Linked DNA regions of Macaca mulatta. The protein of the gene in region 1 purifies or fractionates together with the protein of each later gene. This does not show direct contact. Links are inferred from orthologs where the notes say so. Each region holds a gene or a part of one and is shown on either strand. Other genes may lie near its edges. The genes, in order: TAF9B, TBP and USP22.

Region 1 (3,247 bases):
CTCAAATGAGTATAAAATTGGACATTGCCCCCACTGTTGGTGGTATAAACTCTGATACCAAAAACAGGAGTTTACTCTTAGCTGTGTACTTTGTGCCTTCTATAAGGTGCCACACACACTTATGGCAGTAGACTGCTTATTAGAAATTTAAATTTCCAAATAGATAAGAGAATACAGTAGAAGATTAAGATGTACAAAAATCTTAAGGATCTCAAAGAAAAAAACTGTTTTTAATACTAACCACCACGCCAGGCCTAAAGATGCAAGTTTTAAACTTTAAAAAAAATTAAAATGAGTTGGCCAGGTGCGGTGGCTCATGCCTGTAAACCCAGCACTTTGGGAGGCCGAGGCGGGCCTATCACTTGAGGTCAGGAGTTCAAGACCAGCCCGGCCAACATGGTGAAACCCCGTCTCTACTAAAAATACAAAAATTAGCCGGGCATGGTGAGGGGTGCCTGTAATCCCAGCTACTCGGGAGGCTGAGGAACGAGAATCACTTGAACCCAAGAGGCAGAGGTTACAGTGAGCGGAGGTCATGCCACTGCACTCCAGCTTGGGCGACAGAGTAAGACTCTGTCTCAAAAAAAAAAAAATTAAAATGATCTATATAGACCTTAAGACCTGAGTATTTACTCTGTTCAATTTGGGGAGGCTCCATCTACAGTCTAATGTGTTCAGTTTTAAAGCCTGAACTCCATACCTGCTTAAATGTATTAACAATCCTAAGGCCAAGAAAACATTCACCTACTGTGAATTTTCTTTTTTCTTTATAAAATAAAATACTTACATTGCTTCATTACGCTTCACCAAATTCTTTGGACTGATCCTTAATACATGGGAAAACTTACTTAGGGATGGAGATATTTTAGAGGAAGGTCTCACCTTCTGTGTTTGGGAGAGAAAGCAGTAAAACCCAGATTTCTCGGTACCTTTGAGCTTTCTTCCCTTAGACTTTCTGCACCTTTTTCTCTAGAAATGATAATTGTAGTGTCCTCAGCAACTCTCTCTCTGGGTAGGCTGCTGGTTCCAGGGGGAAGGGATGTATTGGATAGCCTGCATCCCCAAATGAAAAATTGGAAATGGATACATTTCCATAAATGTATTTTTTGAGAGAGCAATGATGTCAGTATATATATTAAGTCTTCGAGTCTTGCAAAATACATTTATTAAGCAAACATTTGTTGAGTAGCTATTAGGAGCAAGGTAAAAGAGCCGTGTGCTCACAAGGATGAAAAATGTTAACCAAGCTTGTAATCTAGTCAGTGAGATAAGATAATAATCATGACTCCTATGACATTAAGGGAACTTCAGAGGCAGAATATAAGACATTTAACTGAGAAAATTAAGGAAAGTTTTATAAAACGGGGTAGTATTTGAGTTGTACCTTGGAATAATGGGTAGAATTTAGATGATTGGGGGTTTAGACTAGGTTATCTCCAAGATATTTTTCTGCTTAAGTATCCGAACACAGAAAGGGAATAAATTTTCTGGGCCCACCTGGAGACCTCAAGGGGTATATTTGATCTCTGCTTTAGTTTCATGGGCATAGATGACATCTTCTGATTCTCAGCAAGCGACCAAGATGAAAAGTGCCAACTAAGGTAATAAATAGAAAACCTGGGTCTTTATTCTGGTAGGTTAAACTCTCATCTTTATGTCTTCATCCAGCTAAACCTCAGTGCTTACTATGTAACAGATGCTGTTTGAAGAGTTTTACAGGGATTAGTTTTACTTAATTTTCACAAGAATTATATGAAATAGGTGATATTATCCCCCATTTTACAGAGGAGAAAACTGAGGCACAAAAATTTAAATAACTTGCCCAGGGACACTCAGCTAGTAGGTGAGAGCCTGAATTCAAACTCAAGCAGGTAGGCTACAGAGCCAACATTCTTTACCACTATTCTAAACTGAATTTTGTAACATCTAAGCAAGCTTGTAAATTTTTTAAGGTTCTTTTGCTCTTATTTTTAATGACTTTTTCCTTACCTTTTATTAGTTTCCTTTGCTTTGAAGATAGTTTGCGGTAAGCTGAGTGTAGAATATAAATGTGTATAAATCACCTAACAAACATGGTCTGTTTATTGTAACTACAGCAACCCCACAAACAGTGTCTGTCCCAAATAAAGTTGCAACTCCAATGTCAGTGACAAGCCAAAGATTTACGGTGCAGATTCCACCTTCTCAGTCCACACCTGTGAAACCAGGTAATGTGATCGGGGGTAGGGAACAGAATTTGTGAATAATTTGAAATTGTAGAACCATTTGTGTTCCTATAGCAAGAGGTAAATTGTTTTAATATCCCAACAGGAAGGTGGCAGTAATGCTGCAAATCAGGGTTCTTCAGAGGGACTTATGAGCCCTCTAAAATTCTGTGAAATTTTACAGAGTCTCCCCCCTTATCTTGAGGGATTATGTTCCAAGACCCCCCGTTAAATTTACAACCTTTAAAGTTCAATTTATGAACTTTCTAAATTATGAGGTTTAATTTATAAATTAGGCACAGCAAGAAATTAACAATAATAAAAAAACAATTACAACAACATACTGTAATCAAATATATGTGAATGTGATCTCTCTCGAAGTATCTTACTGTACTGTACTCATCTATTTTTGGATCACAGTTGAACACAAGTAGCTGAAACTGCGGATAACAGGGGACTACTATATGTGTAATGTTTTGGGGAGGAGGAAAAGAGTAGTCAGTGTGTTCATCAGATTTTCAAAGAACACCATGAACTAAACAGGATCCACAAATCTAAGGCATCTTCAAGGAAAAGCAGTTAAGGTGAAAGCTCAAGAAAGCGACAAAACTTAGTGATGAATATGTGTATGCAATCCAGAACATAAATGTAAATTCAAATGAAACTGTACCTTTAGTTCATAGGATACACACACACACACAGACACAGACACACACAGCTGGAATAAGTAGAATTCTGTCAGCACAGTTTACTAATAAGTATGTTTAGATTTCACATCTTCTGAAACTTAACTGCACACAATAAATAACTTACGTAAAATACTGACCTATTAGGGAAGTGATTCCTGGCCTTGAACATAGGCCTTTATGTAGTATGTTGCATGATGAGTCCAGTGCAGTTTCCCATGACTAAATTGAAATTCTAGGTTGTTAAAATACAACAGAACTTCTTCAACCTTGTACTAGGTATGTTTGATTTAATCTTTATCTATACATAGATCAGAATATCACATTATATGCCATAAATATACACAATTATTGGCA
Region 2 (3,656 bases), on another chromosome or scaffold:
GTAAGAACACTGAGAAATGTAAAGGGTCAGTGGACCCAGATGGCTCCGTTTATCCTTATTTACTGAGAGATAATTAGAAGAGAAAGCAGGGTTTTGCCTTTTTTTTTTTTTTTTTTTTTGCTAAAGACACTTAGCTGTTGTTTTTCAAAAGATACGTACTTTGAGAGAACTCATTTTCATAATAAATAGTGACTTAGGTTTGCCAGGCGTGGTGGCTCATGCCTGTAATCCCAGCACTTTGAGAGGCCGAGGCGGGCGGATCATGAGGTCAGGAGATCGAGACCATGCTGGCTAACATGGTGAAACCCCATCTCTACTAAAAATACAAAAAATTAGCCGGGCGTGGTGGCGCACGCCTGTAGACCCAGCTACTCGGGAGGCTGAGGCAGGAGAATGGCATGAACCCAGGAGGTGGAGCTTTCAGTGAGCCGAGAATGCACCACTGCACTCCAGCCTGGGCGACAGAGCGAGACTCCGTCTCAAAAAAAAAAAAGAAAAAAAGTGACTTAGGAGTAGGGTGGTGGTGGTGGTGGCTTTTCAGAGCTCACAGGTGAGAAATGAGTTTGTCTGTGAGAAGGCTAAGGGCATGGCTCTGGAGACAGACTCAGATCCTGGCACCTCCACTTGGGAGCCATGTGCATCCTGAGGAAGTTGCACTACCTTTAAGCCTCAGCTTATTTATCCGAATGTGGGAATACTGGTAGCTTCTACCATAGTGCATTATAAGTATTAAATGGAATAATCTATATAAAATGCTCAACATGTGCATGATACTTGTTAAACAATAAATGTGAGCAATTTTAAAAAATTAAAGCCTGGTTGAAATAATCAAATGTGTGCATAATTTCTAACACCTCATCCAGTGAAGGTTAAGTAATTTAAATAGTCATGTTTTCTTTTTAAATTTCTTACAGAAATATTGTATCCACAGTGAATCTTGGTTGTAAACTTGACCTAAAGACCATTGCACTTCGTGCCCGAAATGCTGAATATAATCCCAAGGTTAGATCTATTTTAATGTGTTTCTTTTTTTTTCTTTTTTGTCTTCTCTGTCATGTCTCTATATTTTAATGTATTTCACGCTATGTAACAAATGTCTGTAGATCACTCTAGGCACAGTGGCTAATGCCTGTAATCCCAGCACTTTGAGAGGCTGAGGAGGGAGAATTGCTTGAGCCTAGGACTTCAAGACCAGCCCAGGCAACATGGCAAGACCCTGTCTCTTAAAAAAAAAAAAAAAGAAAAAGAAAGAAAAATCGGCCAGGCTTGGTGGCTTACACCTGTAATCCCAGCACTTTGGGAGGCCGAGGTGGGCGGATCACCTGAGGTCAGGAGTTCAAGACCATCCTGGCCAACATAGTGAAACCCTGTCTCTACTAAAAAGACAAAAATTTGCCGGGAGTGGTGGCTTGTGCTTGTAATCCCAACTACTTGGGAGGTTGAGGCAGGAGAATCACTTGAACCTGGGAGACAGAGGTTGCGAGTGGAGATCGCGCCATTGCATTCCAGCCTGGAAACAGAGCAAGACTCCATCTCAAAAAAAAAAAATCTGTATATCAAAGAGTTTGTGTTATGCTTATTCCTTGACACCAACAAAATGAAGATCTAAAGTAAAATGTGCATTGTTTTGTATCTTTTATTGAGTGTCTGTGATATCAGAATCCCTGGGAATACAGCAGTCTATAAAACAAGCTAAGTTACATATATATTGTATTGGGATCATGTGAAGAATTTTGTATATGTATAGGGATGATGTTTGCCAGCTATAGTAGGCAAAGTAATTTGGATAAACATTAGCTGGGTTGAGAGAAGTGTTAGTAATGGACTTAGGGTGCATTTTAAAACCCCTGAAACATAATGCCTAAGATCTGAAAGATAGCTAAGCTAGGGGTCTGAAAAATCTCCTTTTAACCACTCATAATGAGTCTGTATGACATGTAGCATTTTAAGAATTAATCTTTCATCTATTATAATATTTAGTTGAATACATAATTTTATTACTTTATGATCTTAAGTGAAGTGATACTTAACCAATAGAAATAGTAGAGGAAATTCTGGAAATGCAAAATAGCTAGGCTTTTCCTGGGACTTAGATAAACTACTATACACTGCTAGCTTTTTTAGATGTTGATAAAAACACAGGGAAGACATAGAGCAGTTTTTAAACTAAAATTGTTAAAAGCCAGGCACGGTGACTCAGACCTGTAATCTCAGCACTTTGGGAGGCCAAGGTGGGAGGATCGCTTGAGGCCTTCGAGACAAGCCTGGGCAACATAGCAAGACCTTGTTTCATCAGAAAATTTAAAAAATTATCTGGGGTTGGTGGCACACACCTATAATCTCAGCTACTTGGGAGGCCAAGACAGGAGGATCTCTTGAACTCAGGAATTCGAGGCTGCAGTGAGCCATGATTCCAGTCTGCACTCCAGTCTGGGCAACTGCAATCCAGTCTGGGCAACAAAGTGAGACTCTGTCTCTAAAAAAAAAAATTAATAAATTAAAAAAATAAAATTGTTAAAACAATCTAGTTTGTCAGAGTCATCTCAATTAGAAATACATAGGTTTTTATTGTATAATTAAATATAATGTATTAAAATATTTAAGTTGTTTCAAAGTAATTACTTGCTTTTTATCATGTACCTAATAACTGAGGCCATTAATTCAACCCACAGTTGAAATATTTTCCCCATGAGTTACCATCTTAGCAAGAAAATTTTCTGAAAGAATTAACGTGTTTCAAGCATAAAAAGCAGAAAATAAAAGTTAAAACTGTGTTTCTTTCCTAATTTGCATTTATATGTGTTTAATACATTAATATTGTTTCTAAAGGCCAATTGGAAGCAGGATTTTACTTCATTACATACTGGTATGCTTGTAATCTGATTTATTAATTCCATTAAGGTAGAAAACGTTTATTGGTTTATTTGCCTCAAAATTTATATTAATAAAACAAAATTTATCATTAGAGAAACTATAGTCATGATAAGCAGCAAATATAAAGTAGAAACCGAAGCACTGGTATTTATTGAGAACATGACCAAATTTTGCAAACATTTCTGTTGGTGGAATGCTCATGTGAAAGAACATACAGATCTTGGTATAACTTTGTCACAATTGATTATTTTCTGCTCCTTATGCAAAGGAATATTTGTTACATGTGGTGTATGCAAATCCTTTACAGATACGCAGAAATACAGGACAAATATTTTGATAACTAGATGTACTATGTCCTTCCTACCAGTTGTGATTTGTCAATGTGTAGTTCTCCTAACAAAATTGAGCAGTTTGGCATGACCTCACTAATGATTCTCTCTATTTTAGCGGTTTGCTGCAGTAATCATGAGGATAAGAGAGCCACGAACCACGGCACTGATTTTCAGTTCTGGGAAGATGGTGTGCACAGGAGCCAAGAGGTAGCCGTAAGAAATTCATTCTTCTGGTTTATGGGTTGTGAACGAGTTTTTAGGTTATTAGGTTAGCACTTTAACATGTTATTACTGCTTTCTTATTAAAATGGTTGATTCTATTAATTGTAGATACCAGTGATTTCATTTTCTTAAAAATTAGATATGGACAGGTATGGTATCTCACACCTATAATCCCAGGAGGCCAAGGCGGGCAAATCACTTGAGGCCAGGAGTTCAAGACCAGCCTGA
Region 3 (3,238 bases), on another chromosome or scaffold:
TACTGAGGGAGGTGACGGTACTGTTCTAAGGTCAGGGTCTCAAAGATCGTAGTGTTTCCTGCCAAACACAGCCGTGGGAAAATACAGTAAACAATGCTCATGGCTTCCTGTTCCCAGCACCGCCTCTCCCCTGTCTCACTAGGAGAGGTGCTGGTCATGAAACAATGAGCAGCAATCTTTGTCCCTTTTGAGGAGGCACCTGCCTAGGTTGTGAAATGGATTCAGCTTACCCTTTTACGCTAACCCTTTACATGTGGGAGGAAGGGCGCCTTCACCATCTACTTTGTCACAAACCAAACTCAGATTCCTCCAGATCCAGCTCCCATCACCAGCCCTATTCAGGACCCATCTTGGAAGAACCAGGGGCCACACCAGGTGGCCCCAGGACCCAGGTGTGCTCTGAGGCAGAGGCCTCCACAGCTCGAGTGTCAGTGTCCTCACGAAACCTGGGGAGATTTCTACCTGAAGCATAAAGCGCAGCCCGGTGCAGTGTCTGCATGGCCAAGCCTGGATAAGTGTCAGTTTCAGGAGAGGCTTGTATCTCTGGGCCTGATGATTTTAACGATGCTGAATACTGCTGTTGTCTGTTACAGCAAAGAGAGCAGGATGAATGGACAGTACCAGCAGCCCACAGACAGTCTCAACAATGACAACAAGTAAGTGGTGCTCAGCGGTGTGGGTGTCCGAGGCCTCGGGCCAAGAGCTGGGGTGGGTTCCTGTCTGCCCTGTAGGGCACCCCGCAGGTCCCCCACCACTGACCTGCTTCCCGCTTGGCTGCCCGCAGCTCCACTAGGAAAGGCCGCTCCACGCGGCGCCACAAATGCTGCCTCCTGTTGGAGGAGCCCAGTCCCACTCCTGGCCTCTGGCAGGAGGGAGGTTCCATCTGGAAAGCTCGATGTCCATTCTTCTTGCCTTGGGGTGGTAGAAAGAATGAAAGGCTGGGGTGTTCCAGGATCCCCACTGCTGACTGCAGTCATCACTCCCACGAGATGCTGTTCCAGGAAGCGCCTGGACCCAGGCTAGAGCCAGGGAGTGTGACCAGGCTCCCTTAGTTCCTGCAGCCTCCTGTGCATCAGCCGGAGGCCCTGGAGGTTGACAGCCAGGCCCACAGGCCTCCCACTCCTTCCCTGGGCTGCCTGGTTTCTGATGGTGATGGCCTCGAATGGCGGCGTTGAGCCACCTGCGCCCTCCCTCTCCTTTCCTCCCGCACTAGGTATTCCCTGTTTGCTGTTGTTAACCATCAAGGGACCTTGGAGAGTGGCCATTACACCAGCTTTATCCGGCAGCACAAAGACCAGTGGTTCAAGTGTGACGATGCCATCATCACCAAGGCCAGCATCAAGGACGTGCTGGACAGTGAAGGGTGCGTCCTGTCGGGTGGGAGGAAGGCCCTGTAGTGGCCACGGTGCTCTCCCCTCTGGTATAGCTGAGACCAGCCCACGTCTGAGCCTAGGACCACTCAAAGGTGTTGACCTTCATTTACCAAAGTAATGAGGCCTGTTCTGGATAGGATGCCAGCCTTGATGGTGGCAGAAGAGGTGCCTGTGCAAAGGCCCTCTCTGGAGGCATTTCCTTAGCACAGAGAACATCAAAGCAGTTGTTTTTTAACCGCGTGAACTGAACACATCAGTTCTTCTTTTTTTGTTTTTTTGAGACGGAGTTTCGCTCTTGTGGCCCAGGCTGGACTGCAATGGTGCGATCTTGGCTCACTGCAACCTCTGCCTCCTGGGTTCAAGTCAGTCTCCTGCCTCAGCCTCCCAAGTAGCTGGGATTATAGGCACCTGCCACCACGCCCGCCTAATTTTGTATTTTAGTAGAGATGGAGTTTCTCCATGTTGACCAAACTGATTTCAAACCCCTGACCTCAGGCAATCCTCCTGCCTCGGCCTCCCAAAGCATGGGGATTACAGGCGTGAGCCACCGGGCTTGGCCCACATCAGTTCTTTATCAGCTCCTCTCTTCTCTCCAGTTTCGTTCCTTCATGGCATAGAAACCTGTTGACCCTCCAGGGGTCGGGGGACCCCAGCTGCCATGAGCTCCCTGAGGGCTTTGCACTTCACATTCTGAGCAACATGGAAGCCCTCTTGAGAGGTTTTATTTGGAAGAATCTGGGATTAAGGACAGCCTTCAGGGCGATGAGGTGGATCTGGACTGGACCCACTTGAAAACTCCTCCCTGTCTTTGCCTCCACAGGTACTTGCTGTTCTATCACAAACAGTTCCTGGAATATGAGTAGCCTTATCTGTAGCTGGTCAGAAAAACAAAGGCAACGCAAGCCTCACAAAGTGATCCTCCCTGCCTCTCCCGCCTCCCGCCGCCTCCCCGGCCTGGTGACACCACCTCCCATGCAGATGTGGCCCGTCTGCACCTGGGACCCATGGGGTCGGGATGGACCACACGGACGGGGAGGCTCCCGGAGCTGCATTGAAGATGGATGAGATGAGGGGTGTGCTCTGGGTGGGAGGAGCAGCGTACACCCGTCACCAGAACATCTCCTGTATCCTCATGATATGGGGGTGCAACCGGGGCCTCACAGCACGGAGTGGCCGCCGCCTGGCATTCCCCAGCACTCGGTGTGGAAAGGCCCCTGCCTGCCGTAAGATTATGGGTCCATTGAAGCAGTAAGCTGAAGACACAGCAGCGTAGTATGTGGGACAGAGGGCCTTGCAGATGCCTTTCTGTTCATGTTTTAGTGTTAAAATACGGAGAGTATGGAATTCTTCACCTCCGTTTTCTCAGTGGCTGTGAAGCAGCCTCCAGAGCTTCGGAAGTAAGGATACTACGTCGCGTTTTCAAGCGTGTCTGTTCCGCAGGTAACTTAGCATCAAGCTGCACGTGGAAGCATCTCGCAGTTTTCTAAAGACAGGCATTTTCTTATCCCTCTCCCTCTCCTTTTTCCACAAAGGTGAATTTCATAAATGTAATACTAGTAACGTGAATGAATTACTGAGTTTATACTGAAATTTAGATAACTTCTCCTTTAGTCTTGAGTGCGAGTCTTGCTTTTTAATCGGTGCCGTTTATGTTGCTGCCCGCCCTGTGTGCCTGGCTCCTCTGGGTGCCTTGGTGTCTGCTGGGGGCTGGCAGTAAGCGCAGTGGAGGAGAGTCGTGCTGCAGCTCATCCTGTGTCTCTGGTATCTCAGGCTGGAGTAAATGCAGCCTCTGCCGGTGTCTGATAGGTTCCCTCCCGCATATTTTCTTTGTCCGCCTTCTGTCCCATTGCCTGGCTACCACTGCC

Evidence for each region.
Region 2: the proteins of TAF9B (region 1) and TBP purify together in Homo sapiens (affinity purification with mass spectrometry; 3 studies listed by BioGRID and IntAct, with this or other methods). This does not show direct contact. The link is inferred for Macaca mulatta from reciprocal best matches to the Homo sapiens genes TAF9B and TBP.
Region 3: the proteins of TAF9B (region 1) and USP22 purify together in Homo sapiens (affinity purification with mass spectrometry; 3 studies listed by BioGRID and IntAct, with this or other methods). This does not show direct contact. The link is inferred for Macaca mulatta from reciprocal best matches to the Homo sapiens genes TAF9B and USP22.

What each region holds. Positions count from the first base shown.
Region 1 is NC_133426.1:84,378,845-84,382,091, reverse strand, and holds part of TAF9B (transcription initiation factor TFIID subunit 9B), read left to right. Parts: intron 1-2,096; coding exon 2,097-2,207; intron 2,208-3,247. UniProt on the Homo sapiens protein: Essential for cell viability. TAF9 and TAF9B are involved in transcriptional activation as well as repression of distinct but overlapping sets of genes. May have a role in gene regulation associated with apoptosis.
Region 2 is NC_133409.1:1,483,972-1,487,627, reverse strand, and holds part of TBP (TATA-box-binding protein), read left to right. Parts: intron 1-914; coding exon 915-1,002; intron 1,003-3,321; coding exon 3,322-3,413; intron 3,414-3,656. UniProt on the Homo sapiens protein: The TFIID basal transcription factor complex plays a major role in the initiation of RNA polymerase II (Pol II)-dependent transcription.
Region 3 is NC_133421.1:21,885,314-21,888,551, reverse strand, and holds part of USP22 (ubiquitin carboxyl-terminal hydrolase 22), read left to right. Parts: intron 1-593; coding exon 594-656; intron 657-1,213; coding exon 1,214-1,363; intron 1,364-2,193; coding exon 2,194-2,236; 3' UTR 2,237-3,238. UniProt on the Homo sapiens protein: Deubiquitinase that plays a role in several cellular processes including transcriptional regulation, cell cycle progression or innate immunity.